3 linked regions of the Arabidopsis thaliana genome follow. The protein of the gene in region 2 interacts with the protein of the main gene of each other region in a pairwise test. Each region holds a gene or a part of one and is shown on either strand. Other genes may lie near its edges.

Evidence for each region.
Region 1: the proteins of ASIL1 (region 2) and TOM6 interact in a two-hybrid assay, tested with the Arabidopsis thaliana proteins (one large-scale study listed by BioGRID).
Region 3: the proteins of ASIL1 (region 2) and EMB1135 interact in a two-hybrid assay, tested with the Arabidopsis thaliana proteins (one large-scale study listed by BioGRID).

The regions. Positions count from the first base shown.
Region 1 is NC_003070.9:18,284,788-18,288,848, forward strand, and holds TOM6 (translocase of the outer mitochondrial membrane 6), read right to left. Parts: upstream 2,248-4,061; 5' UTR 2,116-2,247; coding exon 1,951-2,115; 3' UTR 1,931-1,950; intron 977-1,930; 3' UTR 519-976; downstream 1-518. Other genes in the region: AT1G49405 (Uncharacterized protein family (UPF0497)), read right to left, coding at 30-160; AT1G49420 (Heavy metal transport/detoxification superfamily protein), read right to left, coding at 3,072-3,532, 3,638-3,722, 3,840-3,863. UniProt on the Arabidopsis thaliana protein: A component of the complex responsible for the recognition and translocation of cytosolically synthesized mitochondrial preproteins.
Region 2 is NC_003070.9:20,178,946-20,182,913, reverse strand, and holds ASIL1 (6B-interacting protein 1-like 1), read right to left. Parts: upstream 2,305-3,968; 5' UTR 1,943-2,304; coding exon 791-1,942; 3' UTR 540-790; downstream 1-539. Other genes in the region: AT1G54070 (Dormancy/auxin associated family protein), read right to left, coding at 1-231; AT1G54050 (HSP20-like chaperones superfamily protein), read left to right, coding at 2,792-2,995, 3,093-3,356. UniProt on the Arabidopsis thaliana protein: Transcription repressor that binds specific DNA sequence such as the GT-box-like motif 5'-CGTGATT-3' in the AT2S3 promoter. Negative regulator of seed maturation genes during seed germination and seedling development.
Region 3 is NC_003070.9:29,850,449-29,855,346, forward strand, and holds the start of EMB1135 (RING/FYVE/PHD zinc finger superfamily protein), read right to left. Parts: upstream 3,019-4,898; 5' UTR 2,768-3,018; coding exon 2,159-2,767; intron 2,082-2,158; coding exon 1,908-2,081; intron 1,823-1,907; coding exon 1,692-1,822; intron 1,499-1,691; coding exon 1,422-1,498; intron 833-1,421; coding exon 651-832; intron 461-650; coding exon 383-460; intron 172-382; coding exon 39-171; intron 1-38. Other genes in the region: OCT2 (organic cation/carnitine transporter 2), read right to left, coding at 3,692-4,898. UniProt on the Arabidopsis thaliana protein: Required for normal embryo development. Necessary to acquire heat stress (HS) memory, by modulating nucleosome occupancy and regulating heat-induced gene expression.

The DNA of each region.
Region 1 (4,061 bases), 1.9 Mb from region 2:
TATAGAATATGGAATTAGGAGTTATTTACCAGAAAGCAGTGAATTGGTAGAAGCGAACACCGATGGTCATGAAGAGAAGAGAGCCAAATGCTAATACCATCTGCCCTAACCTTAAGGAAAGGCTTGCAGTTGTGCCTACAGAGCCAGGAACCTCCACCATCCCCAGCTTTGCTTGTGTGGCACGTAGGTTAGCTGTTGAATCTAAAACTCGATAAAGATGGAAACTTTTGACATGGATCTGCAAAATCTTGTGTAGTTTTCGATTAAATCATAGGGGTTTTCGTTATCTGGTAAGGACAAAACGATCACGATCATGATCATGACGAAGAAGAAGAAGAGAATTAAGAGAGGAATAAAAGAAAGACAAGTTGAGAGTGTTTCTGGTTCGCACGTTGTTTGTGAGTGTTACGAATGGTGGAAAAGAGAAGACTGTTCATGTCGAAAGAGTTGTGGTCTGTATTCATCAGACAAAGCAGAGCAATTGTCGGAGAAAACTGTTTTGCAAAACACTTTTATTCCTTTCTTCTTCAATTCCCGATCTCTCCCCCTTTATATTTATTTTATTTTATTTCAATGCATCTAGCTTCCTCCTGTACGAAAAGTCGATTGCTCTTTAGAAAATCACAAGACAACACTTTAGAAATGTCCAAAACTTACTCGTTTCATTAAAAAGTGTTTTAATTAAAACGCTCCACAAAAGACAAAACTAGTTCTGAGAAGAAAATTTTGCAAATTCAAAAGAATAATGGGCAGAATCTGATCTGCAAATCGGTAGTGAATAGCCGAAGGTAATTTGCTGGAAATTGGAGAACGTTGGTGAGAAGAACATAAACCAAAAACAAATCCCAAAAGTACACCACTATATAACTAAATGTCTCATGATTTCGTAATCTCAGGTCTTAAGAGTAAGAAGGTTGCAAAAACAAACAAGATATCTTCCATTGCTTCATAATGCATCTATCTCACCGCTTCAACGCTGCACGAGATAAAAGACAATAGGCGGCTTAGCAAACTCAAGACATTGACGATCTCAATATGGCTGAGAACAGGGGAACCCATAGCATCGAGGTCACACACATTATATATAATACTTGGATTAATCGACAAAACACATTCTAAGTACACACAATCTTAATCTAAGATGTTCAGAAAAATTTTGAAGGTTTCTTCAAGAAGACTCTCTCTCTCATGACACACAAGAGGAGCAAACAAGCAAAGAAGCTTTCGCCTAAGCATAGTGAATACTTAACAATCCCTAAATCTCCATGGGATACATGAGTATCTAAGATAACTTCATACACAGATATATTCACATATCAATAAGTGAGCCTAAAGACATAAGCTGAAACATATCATGCTTTAATGATTGTGAACACATTCTCATGAACAAGCCTTAAAACTTACTTAAGAACAGACCAGAGAGATCTTAGTATGGCAGAGCAATGAGAAATCTATGTGTAAATAAATCACACACATTATTAAATTGGCTTGAAATTTTTTTAACAAACCTTTCAAAAACACATTCAAAACAACACACAATCTTGATCTAACATGATCATAATACTGAAGATTAACACCAAACCAGCTTTTACTAAGCATATTCAAATCAATACTCAACAATCCCTAAATCTACACATTGGGTATATATAATGCTTCTTCATACACAGATATATATATTTCATATCAATAAGTGAGTCATAAAGGCATAAGCTGAAGCATATCAATGACAAGAATACTCTAATGAACAAGAGTACCAAATTTCCAGTTTCTATACTTTTGATCAAACTCAAGCAAGTACCATAACTCGATCCTAAGAGTATTAAGGATCAAACAGAACTAATTCAAACGAATTTGAAATCGTTATGACTTGATCTATCAAAGCTAAATCATGACAAAGGAAGACAAAATTGATAGAATTCAATAATCAGACCTGAAAATTGAAAGAGTCATTTAGAAATCGATCTTGAGCTCATCTTTGGAATCGGAGAAATAGGAGAGGACGTAGGGAGCAGCACGGATAATGACAACCCAGCTGCCAAAAAGAGCGACATGAGTGCGTAGCTGCTTCAGAGCCTCGGCTTTGTCTGGCTTTCGCATGAACATTCCTGGGAACATGGCTGCGATCTTCTTCTTCCTCTCTGATGTGTGAATGTGATTCTTTAAAGATTCTAAAACCCTAACCCTCGATTGATTTGCCGTCTCGTTTTTCACAATATAAGTGTTTTTAGATGTGGGCCGAGTTTTTAATATGGGCCGTTAACGAAGCCTTTAATATGAATTGGTGATACACGAAGCCTTTTGTCGGCCGAGTAAATACGGAGATGCTTAGCCGAGCAAAGGAAAGACATTTAATTGCTAATTAAAAACAAAAAATGGAATGAGACATAATTAGAGAAAATGTATACATCCCTTTATTATTAGAAAGAAAGTATAAATTGAAATTTTGTCTAATTTGGCTTTAATTTTGGATTTTGTTCTTTGCTATTCAAAATTATTAAGGGTAATTTGGTCTTAACAATCACCTAAGTTTTATATGATCCGATTCAATCTAAACCGTTCAATAAAATTAATTTCCTTCAATCTAAACCGTTCAACAAAAATAAGGAATCTATGTCGTTTTTAAAATAAAAATATGATCACATTTTATCCCTAAAAACATTGTATTCAATCACGAAATCAATAATCAATAATATATAAATCATATATTACGATTCTTCACTAATCACTAGAAATTTATATTTATAAGTTTAAAATATCAAATTTATTCAAATATTTAGTATAAAAACCAAATAAACCGATCGTCTGCGGTAAACCGCGGGTTAAAACCTAGTATAATGTATTTGATCAGGCTATAATAGTTAAAAAATTGTTACTACCAAACAACGAAAGAACACAATGAAGTATTATGTATTATTGTCAAACAAAATGATCTCACACATTCAAGTGCGCTTTTAATTAGTAGAAATTGTTAAAGGCTAAGAAAATCAAAACTAGTTGTGTAGAATAGAAAAATTAAATAAGTTTTTTTTGTTCTTTAAAGAGAGATAATGTAATAGTAATGGTTCACGACTTCACATGATGGAGCAAGACGGTTGTTCCTCTTCGTAATGTGATCTGCCACCATATTGCGATGGTGGTGGTTGCCAACCTCCGTAGCTATTGTAAATGGGTCTTTCATCATACCCATTGGGTCGGGACCATCCGTAGTTAGGCCCATCAGACCAAGGCACCGGATGGCCCATCATCGGCGGTGGATTATACCCATGTGTCACCCGTTGAGAACTTGGATCGCCTTGAGCTGGAGCTGCTGCTGGTTTGGGCTTCTCTGGTTCTTTAGGTTTTTCAGCTTCTTTGGGCTTCTCAGGTTCTTTGGGCTTTTGAGCCACATGTTTGGCCGGATCGATGGTTTCGATGAGCTTAATAGCTCCACGTCCTTTGGAACAGAGTTTGTCCATCACTTTCTCAGGACTGCAGCAAACCACTTTGATTGTGACCGTGTTGGTTTCTTCTTCGAACTTTTGGTCTCTTACTTCTTTTGTTTTCCCAAAAAAATCACATAAAACAAATTATTATTATGAGTTTTTAATTTCAAACCAAAAGAGACGTAAAAGGAGAGAAAGATATAACAATAACATACGAGGTATGCTCGAAAGAGCCTTCTTGACTTTCGAGAAATTCTTTTCGTTACTAAGAGGCTCCGTCTTCAATTTCATCCATGTTACCTAGTTTAATTTCATCATATAATGTTCTCATAGCTTTTAATACAACTTTTGTAACAATTAGTAGTAACGGTTTCAAAGAGAAGCACAAAAAAGAAAAAGAAGAGAGCGTTTATTTACCTTCTCCTTACCCTTCTCGGCCATGGCTTTGAAAAGAAAAATATTTTCAGTGTAATTGCTTGTATATACTAACACTACTATGCAGCTATGCTATATATTTGGAGTTTCACGAGAGGGTTTCCAAGGAAAAAGAAGTTGAATATTGTACAATTTACTTTTCTCTTAGAATGTATAATTTCCATAGCTATTATTCCATATTACATTGTCCTAAAACAATGTAAA
Region 2 (3,968 bases):
GTTGCTGCTTGAACAGGTTGGAGAATCCGGATCCATTTTCAATTTACGGAGACCACGAACATTGTTATTCCCCTTGGTAACCATGATGCTTCTGGTGACTTGGTCGCTTGAGAGAGAAGGAGGAGAAGATCGGACGGTGGATAATGAATCGTGCTTTCTCAATTTCCCGAGACCATTGTCCGGCGTCGGTCCGGCCACCGTTTCATCCCACAGCTTGTGTAGGAACCCCATCCGATCAACAAAAATTTATCCAAAAATATATAACAATATTTTTTCAAATTATTTCGGGTTTTTATTTTACTGTCTCTATCTTCTTTTTTTTTCCTTTGCAATGGAAATGGTTTTATAGAGGTAGTAGAGAGGTAAGGATGAAAGAGAAGAGAGAAGCATTGAATATTTTTAGTGAGGTTAATTATAAGCTTTGGCTTAATTAAGGAGATTTTAATTTAAGGATAAATATGCTGACTAATCCAATCATTAGTCTCTAATCTCATTGGTGAATATTCTATAAGCTGTGTCTTAACTTAGAATCACAAACTACTAGTTCAGAACTCTACTTAAGAATCACAGAGGTTTTCAACAAGCTATTCAAGTTCAAAGCTTTTTAATTTGCCCATGTTTAAGACAAGAAGATGGATAACAATAACAACAACATGATGATAATCAGAGTCATAACTTCTCTACATTTACACATCCCACAAGGCAGTAACAATAACAACAACAACAACATCAAAACCTAAAATCCAGCTTATCATAGCAAATATCATAGGAACATTTGTGTGTTCAATTGTCAGCTACTTACATTGCCGTTATTCTTGCCATTGCGATCATCATCATCATCAACGATCCTCCTTTCTCCTCGCTGCCTGCTCCTCTCTTCCTCTTCTTGATTGTTCTGTGTTATCTCCAATTGAGTTTTCAAGAACTGCATTCTCTGCAACTCCATCTCTTTAGCAAATTTCATCCTCTCCTTTTCCAGTTCCGCCATTAACTTAAGCTTAGCAGTTTCCGCCTTCTCATAAGCTTCCGTAAATCCAAGTATCGCCCTCGCCACATCTCCAACTCCACTCCCTCCACCTCCACTCTTATCCACCTTCAACCGCTTTGGCATATGAAACGAAAGCGGTTGAATCGGTTGCAAAGGTGGGAGACTCTCAGCAGATTCCTCAGGAGAAGCCTCAGGTTCAGGATCAGACTCAGACTCAGTCTCAGAAGCACTACGTTTCCTAAAATGCCACCGCATCGAATCAGAGCCTCTCTTCTCTTGTTGTTGCTGCACAATCTGATTACCTTTAGTTTGCCGTTTAAACATACTCGAACGGCTATTCCCAAGAGCTCCTCCCATAGGAGCCTTCTCTGAAGCTTTTGAAGAAGCAATGAATGTTGTAGTACCACCAATCAAACTCTCAAGCTTCTTGAAGAAAACCCATTTACTAGGTCCATCACCAGAAGCAATCTTAGCTTTCTCTTGCTTATACTTCTTCTTCACCGTATCAATTCTGTTCTTACACTGAATATCAGTTTTAGGGTATTTGCATTGACGACTCTTGTTCACAATCTCAGCTACTTCTTTCCAATGTTGTTGCTTCAAAGTTCCTTTACCTGGTTCAGAGAATCGATCTCCCCAAGCTTCGATTAGAACCTTTGTAGCTTCTTCGCTCCAACAATCATCTCTTCCTCCTCCACCACCACCGCTTCCTCCTCCTCCTCCTCGTCCGTTTCTGTTTCCGCTACCACCACCACCGGTTACAGAAGGAGTATGAACCACTAACGCTAAAGCGTTCATGGACGGAGATTGAGAAGAAAGCCCCGGTTGTGGTTTCTTCACGACGGCCACCGTCACGTCGTTTGTTGGCAAAATCGGCGGAGAAGGAGGAGCTTGTGGTGAAAGGGAAGAATCTCCCGGAGATGGAATTGACTGAATCTCGTCGTCGTCCTCCATGAAAAATCGATCGATTCGGAGAAGGTAAGACGATCTGAGGATTTTGCAAAATTTTGGATCTGAGATTCGCTCACCGGCGAGGGGATAAGGTCACCGGATAGGTAATCTCCGTTATTGACCCGATGGATATGTTAAATGACGAAAACACCCTTCACTCTTTCCTTTAATAACAAAAGAACAATATTAGAAATTTAGAACCGTGACAGTATTCGAATGGTTTTATGGTAAATACTCAAATATCGCTATAAGGTATTTATGCTTTGGCCATTTTTTCGTTAGGAATATTGAATATACACACTGACGGATTTCAAAATTTCTCTAATATACAAAAGTATTTTTATTTTCTTGTCTATAGTATGGTTAGGTAGGTTGTCTCAAGTCTCAAAAACTCTAACTAAAATAAAACGAGATAAATCAAGTCTAATGGGCTAAGGCCTGGAATAACTTTCAAGGCCCAATAAAAACAGATATAAGAAATAAAAATACAAAATAGAACAAAGACATAAATCAAGTCCAATGTGCTAAACGGCCTATAAATAACTTATAAGGCCCAATAAAAGGAGATTTAATGACGTGGAAGCTTTTGAAACAACTCTCAAGTTCACTAGTTACTTCTAGAAATTTTCTCTGGAACTTTCTAGCTCACTGGTGTTTACTCACTATATATCAATGGAGTGAAAATTTCAAACCCCATACTATCAAATCGAAGAAGAGGAAGATCCAATTGGAAAGGGTTATCCTAATTCCCAGGTAATGATCCTATTCTCTGTATCGATCTTTTCCTGGAAAATTTCAGAATTGTTGATTTTTTTAACTGTTTTGTTTTCTGGCAGTCATTGATCGGAGAAGATGAGTGCTGTTGCGATTAACCACTTTTTTGGCTTACCGGAGGCGATCGAGAAGCTAATTCTCCCGATTTCTCGTTCCGGCGAAAGTAATAACGAGAGTCGTGGAAGAGGAAGTAGCAATAATATCCCAATAGACATTTTGGAATCTCCCAAAGAATACATATTTTATCTCGATATCCCCGGAATTTCAAAATCAGATATCCAGGTATTGATATAATCCCATAGAAATGTTGAATTGTTTATGAAATTAGGGTTTTTTTTTTAATTTAATTTATGATTTGGGGGTTTTGGTGGGAAATTAGGTTACAGTGGAGGAAGAGAGGACTTTAGTGATAAAGAGTAATGGGAAGAGGAAGAGAGATGATGATGAGAGTGAAGAAGGGTCTAAGTATATTAGACTCGAGAGGAGACTTGCTCAGAATTTGGTTAAGAAGTTCCGGTTACCAGAAGATGCTGATATGGCTTCTGTAACGGCTAAATATCAAGAAGGTGTTTTGACAGTTGTTATCAAGAAGCTACCGCCACAGCCGCCGAAACCTAAGACTGTTCAAATCGCTGTTTCTTGAGTAGTTTCTGTGTTTTGTTTTTGTGTGTGTTTGTTTTCTAGTTTGTAATTTTTCTGTGTTTGGATAAAAAGACTCTGTTTCTTTTATGTGTTCTCTTGTCGAAATTTTGAAATTGAAGAAATAAATAGGTTTAGCCTCCAAAACCAAAAACAAATAAAAACGTTGTCGACATTACCACCATAAGATACTCCTAAGGCACTGGGCTCTACAAAATTTTTGTGGATTCTACAAGATTAATGTTATAGGAAAAATTCTAAAAAAAATTCAAACTATTTTTTATTTAGAAGTTTAATACCCAAATGTTTTTAGTCAGAAAAAATACATATACAAATTAAAACATACAAGAATTAATATCTAAAATTTTATATGTTGTTATTTTTATACATGATTTTATGAATAATTAAAAATTTCAATTTTATCTTTAACTTTTTAATTAATTATTTATTTTAATTTAAAAAAATTATTTTGGTTCTCTTTTAACCGGATTAAACCAAATCAAAACTGGTTATTACCACCACCAAATTTTGTTCTTGTCATGTTAACCCGATGAGCTTTCCCAATCCAACAACCAACACGCCAATTGTCAATCTGGGCTTTATAAACTTTCTAGAG
Region 3 (4,898 bases), 9.7 Mb from region 2:
AAATCAATTAATCAACAGGAGTAGAAAAGAAAACCAACCTAGGAATTTGTTAAAATCACTAAAACTTGTTCCAGCTCCCCAAAGACCAAGCCTGACCATATAACCCATGTTTCGTGGTTCTGATGCCCCAGTAGCCGAGCAATAAATAACACGTGCTTGGGGGATCTTATCCTGCTTTTCCAGAATTCATTAGTTAGAGTCAACTAGATGGCACTAACCACAAATTAAGCATGTTAAACTAGAATATACACTATATTATCTGAAACCGAGAAAAAGTACAACCCAAAAAGACAAGTCGAAGTATATAATCTCTCACTCTTCAGAGCCAAGAGCAATATTAAAAGCAACACTGATAAGAACATTCAGTTTCAAGTAGCCAGACCTGAATGTCAACAACTGCCTGTCCGATGCGTGTCGGCTGACTCCCAGCTTCAGGTACCAAATTTTTCGCTTTATGGCACTATAAAAAAGGAAAACAAATTAGTACCTGCACAATGTACTAAAGATTAGAGGTTGGCCCAAAATTGATAAAACCAGTGATCAAGCAACTTACAACGACAGGGTATACTCAAATTGTTCAATTCACAAAAAAAGGGGGATGATGATTTTAACGCAAATAATTTAATATACTTCATTCATAGAACTGTTACCTCATCAAAGATCAAGAGACCATCAAATTCTGGTCCACACCATTGAACAAGCTGCTGTAAACGAGAACGGCCCTTCTCAGAGGAAGCAATGAGGCTATTGTATGTCAAGAATACCACTCCTTCTTTAATACCAACATTTTTCGAGTCAAGCTTAGAATAGGGTAGCTTGTTCAAAGGATTCACTGCACGTCAAACATATTGTTATTTAGTTGCAGAAAAAACAAACTGGACATTTGTTCACTTGAATGAACTTATCCATCGACATGGTTCCCTTGATTTGTCGTATTTTTCCATCTCCTAATATTCTATTAAAATTCCAAGCTCAAACCTATAAAGGATTAATGAGACTAAGAATCAAATATCCTATTGGACTATTCTAAAGTTACAGTCCAACTTTTATTTACCTGAAATTTTCATGAACTGCACAAACATCAGCTACCCATAACATTCTCTAGGCATGAAGACACCATAAACAAAGTTCAGGGACCCATTACCTTTATCAGTAAAGAAAATAAGTTCTCTAAAAATACATGTGTACTCTACATCGTAATATTAAAGCATGAGTCAATTTATCCATTCAGCAAAGTCAGAATCTCATTCTGATCCAGTCTACTCTATACCATCCACTTTCAAAATTTTCTATTCAACAATGAGCCAGAAAATAATTTATAGCATAAGCTATATGTAATTATGTATAACATATGAAGCATTTGTGACCCAAGAAAATAAGCGAATTACAAACTTAATTTACAGCCAAAATCAAGATAATACCTCCAACGCATGTAGCACCCACATCATCCAAGTCCCTTCTTGCATCATATTTCAAGTCTGAGCCAATAGAAATCCACCTATGTAAATCATAAAGGAAAAGGAGCAAATAGTATTAGAACTCATCCTACTTTAAGTTATCTAAGAAACCAAAAAAGGACACCGTAGACACAATTATGCAAATGTAGTATAATCATAAGTCAGATTGAATTGAGCTAACAATATCTTATCAAGGATGTAAATGGCGCAGAAGTATCTTTCTACAAGACTTACAAAGCTTTCCTCCTTCCATGTTTCCAATTTTCCCAAATCAACCCGGCAATTGTTCGCCCTTTGCCCACACCAGCACCATCTCCAACAAAAAAGCCTGCTCTGGTACCATCAGCAAGGTGCTGGAGATGCCTCTGTAATAAAAAAAAAACCATTGTCATACAGGTAGAAGATACGTTTAAATGCCATTAACCAAACTTTTTGCCATTTAAAAGCAACCTGGCAAGCGTAAACTAATGTCTCAATCTGCAAACACGATAAAGCCTTTGACCTTTCAAGCTCTTCCTTGATTTTGAGATCATAAGTAGGCTCTGGGGGTTGCACTGCAGATAGAGATGATGTTTCCACAATTGGATCAGGATGAGGAGGTCCGATCGAAAGTTTTGGGGGACGCTTCACAAAGAAACAAATTAGTATCATCAAAAACATTGAACAGACAGAAAAAGATGATCTCAAGATGAGGCACTCACATAATCCATAAACGTTTCTCCAGCCGTTCCACCTTCATCTTCTTCTCTCTCCACTTCAATAGCTTCCTCATTGACTTCTTCGGGAGGAGGCGGAGGCGGGACTGTGGGAGCAGCAGGAGTAGGAGGATTAGAATGAGATTGAGAAGCAGTTAAAGACCGATTAAGCTTGGAGACATCAACAGCGAGCTCGACATGGCACTGAGGACACGAGAACCGAGTGAGTCCATGAGGCACATTGAGGATAGCCTGACAGTTAGCGCAAGGCAATTGCATCTTCGTCGGATCGATTCCATGTGCCGGAACCGGAGGCCTAGGTAGATTAAGAGGCTTAAGCTGCTGTTGAATCGGTGGCGGAAGCGTCTGAATTGGCTGTGGTGGTTGTTGTGGAGACTGCGGAAACTGCGGCCGTGCCCTAGAAAGAAGCTCCGGCGGCAACATTTGGGGAAGTTGACAAGTCGGACACGAGAACTCCACAACGCCGGTTTTCACCCTCAGAATCACGCGACAGCCTGCGCACCTAACCTGTACATCGCCTCTTATTACACCTCCGGCGGCGGAATGCGGCTGAGCTGGGAGCGGCGGAGGCGGTTGAACAGGCGACTGCGTCATGAGCCGCGGCGATTGATCTTAAGAGAGATCCGTGAGAGGCCTTAGGATCTTGTGGCGTTGAAGGAGATAATTGAGAGAGGAAGACAAAAAAAGTATAAATCCAGTGTAAGTAATGAATTTCGTCAGAGCGCGAAAGGTTCTTCTTCGACTCCCTTCTCGTTTTTTTTGGTTTCAGATTTTCTTCCCTTTTTCTAATATTATTTTGGGATTGTTTGGTTCATCTAAAACTAATTATAATTACCCAAGAGGAGTCGAAGTAGGAAGATACAAAACCACTTCCGTACCGGTTGGGGTAATGGTAAGTGATGGGTTGATGGATCACGTGTCATCACGTGACTTGCCAGCTCACCGTTCGTTAGTTTGTGTGGGCTTAAAATAATAAATCCACATAAGTTTTGGGTTTGTGAACTTTGAGACCACTTAGTTGGGCCTAAAAGGGTTACAAAAGGGCTGATAGATGGGCCTATTTGTAAATTAAACCTTTTAAACATATCTACCAAGAAGTGTACAAATTTCTGTCTGGTTTGTTCTTCCCATTCAATTACCAAACAGCCAACTACCAACAACCCCAATGAATATACTTTCTTGGGATTGGAACGATTCATTTTCACACAACGTGTGAAAATTAGAACAGAAACACAATTATCTCTAACAAAAATCAAACAGCCAAACGTTTAACCATCGGCATCAATATCCAAACGAGACAAATTTGAATTATTTTGTTATTCAAGAAATCCATGTGTTATAGGTGTAAACTGTAAAATGAGATTGTTTCATCAGAGTGGTGCTTTGATGGCTCATTCTTAGAAACACTTTTCAACTAACCAAAAAAAAAGATATGTGGTAAGTCTTAATGTAATCAAGTGATAAATACTAAATTAAATCTACATTAATTTCACATGTGTTTTCAAATTCTTCACCATTTCATGCAATGACATTATTAACGGCGACTTTACTCCGCCGGTCTTTGCACTCTTCCTCGTCCATAGTGTCACATAGATCACTCCCTCTAGTCTCTGGCAATCCAACTGCAAACAATCCCAACAAACCTATAGCAAGACCAAACAATCCGAACGACCAGAACGCGTTTTTCCGACCAGCTGCTACCATAATAGGGCTGAAAACTCCACCAAGCACCAAAGCCTGTCTAGCCATTGCGATAGCCGAGTTTCTCACACATGTCGGAAACAGCTCGATCGTGTATATCATCTCCATGTTAAAAGCCGAACACGCGCTAAAGTAAGAGATTAGCTCTAACGCCAACTGTAACGCCCCGTGGTTTCCAATTCTCATATTATGTAACGCAAATATGAGAACGCTAGAGACTCCACCTAAAGCCGTAAATCCGATAAGCGCGTTTCTCCTACTGAGTTTATCGACTAGGAAAAGCGTGATGAGGTTCGCTGGTAAATCCATCAACGCATTAAACGCTGCACTTAAATAGATGTTGAAATCAAGATTCGATAACGCTAAAGGCATCCCGTAATAGACCAAACCAATCCCGAACGCAATGGCCATTACCGCGGATAATCTCTTAAGCGCCCATCTTTTCTCTACCAACACCTTCATGGTCGTGAAGATGTTAACATTAGTACTAGGCTTCTCTTCATCTTCTTCAAAAGGTAAGCTCGAAAAACTCATAGATATTGCACCACCACTGCTTACATCAGTAGACGGAATCGAAGCAACCCTTTTGAGAATCGAAATAGCTTCTTCTCTACGGCCTCTAACGAAAAGCCACCTTGGAGACTCACAAACGAAAAACCGAACAAGAACGCAGTATATTATCGTTGGAATCGAAGTCCATGCGTAGAGAATCCTCCAAGAACTTCCTCTGTTCATGTAAGCCATCAAAGGAAGAGACAAAAAGCCAAGCATGAATCCGAAGAAACTCATTATCCCTACTCGTCCTCGCCATTTCTTCCCAACTAATTCCGTCGAAAGAACGAGCGCACATGTCCCTATCGTCGCTCGACCAAATCCATTAACGAATCGAAGAACAGCGTAAACCCAAATGTTTGGTGAGAAAACCGTTAGCATCGTTGATATCGCCATAACGAGACAGGACAGAAACAACATGTTTTTACGACCCAAGGAAGAATCAGCAAGTGTTGAGAGAACCAAACCTCCG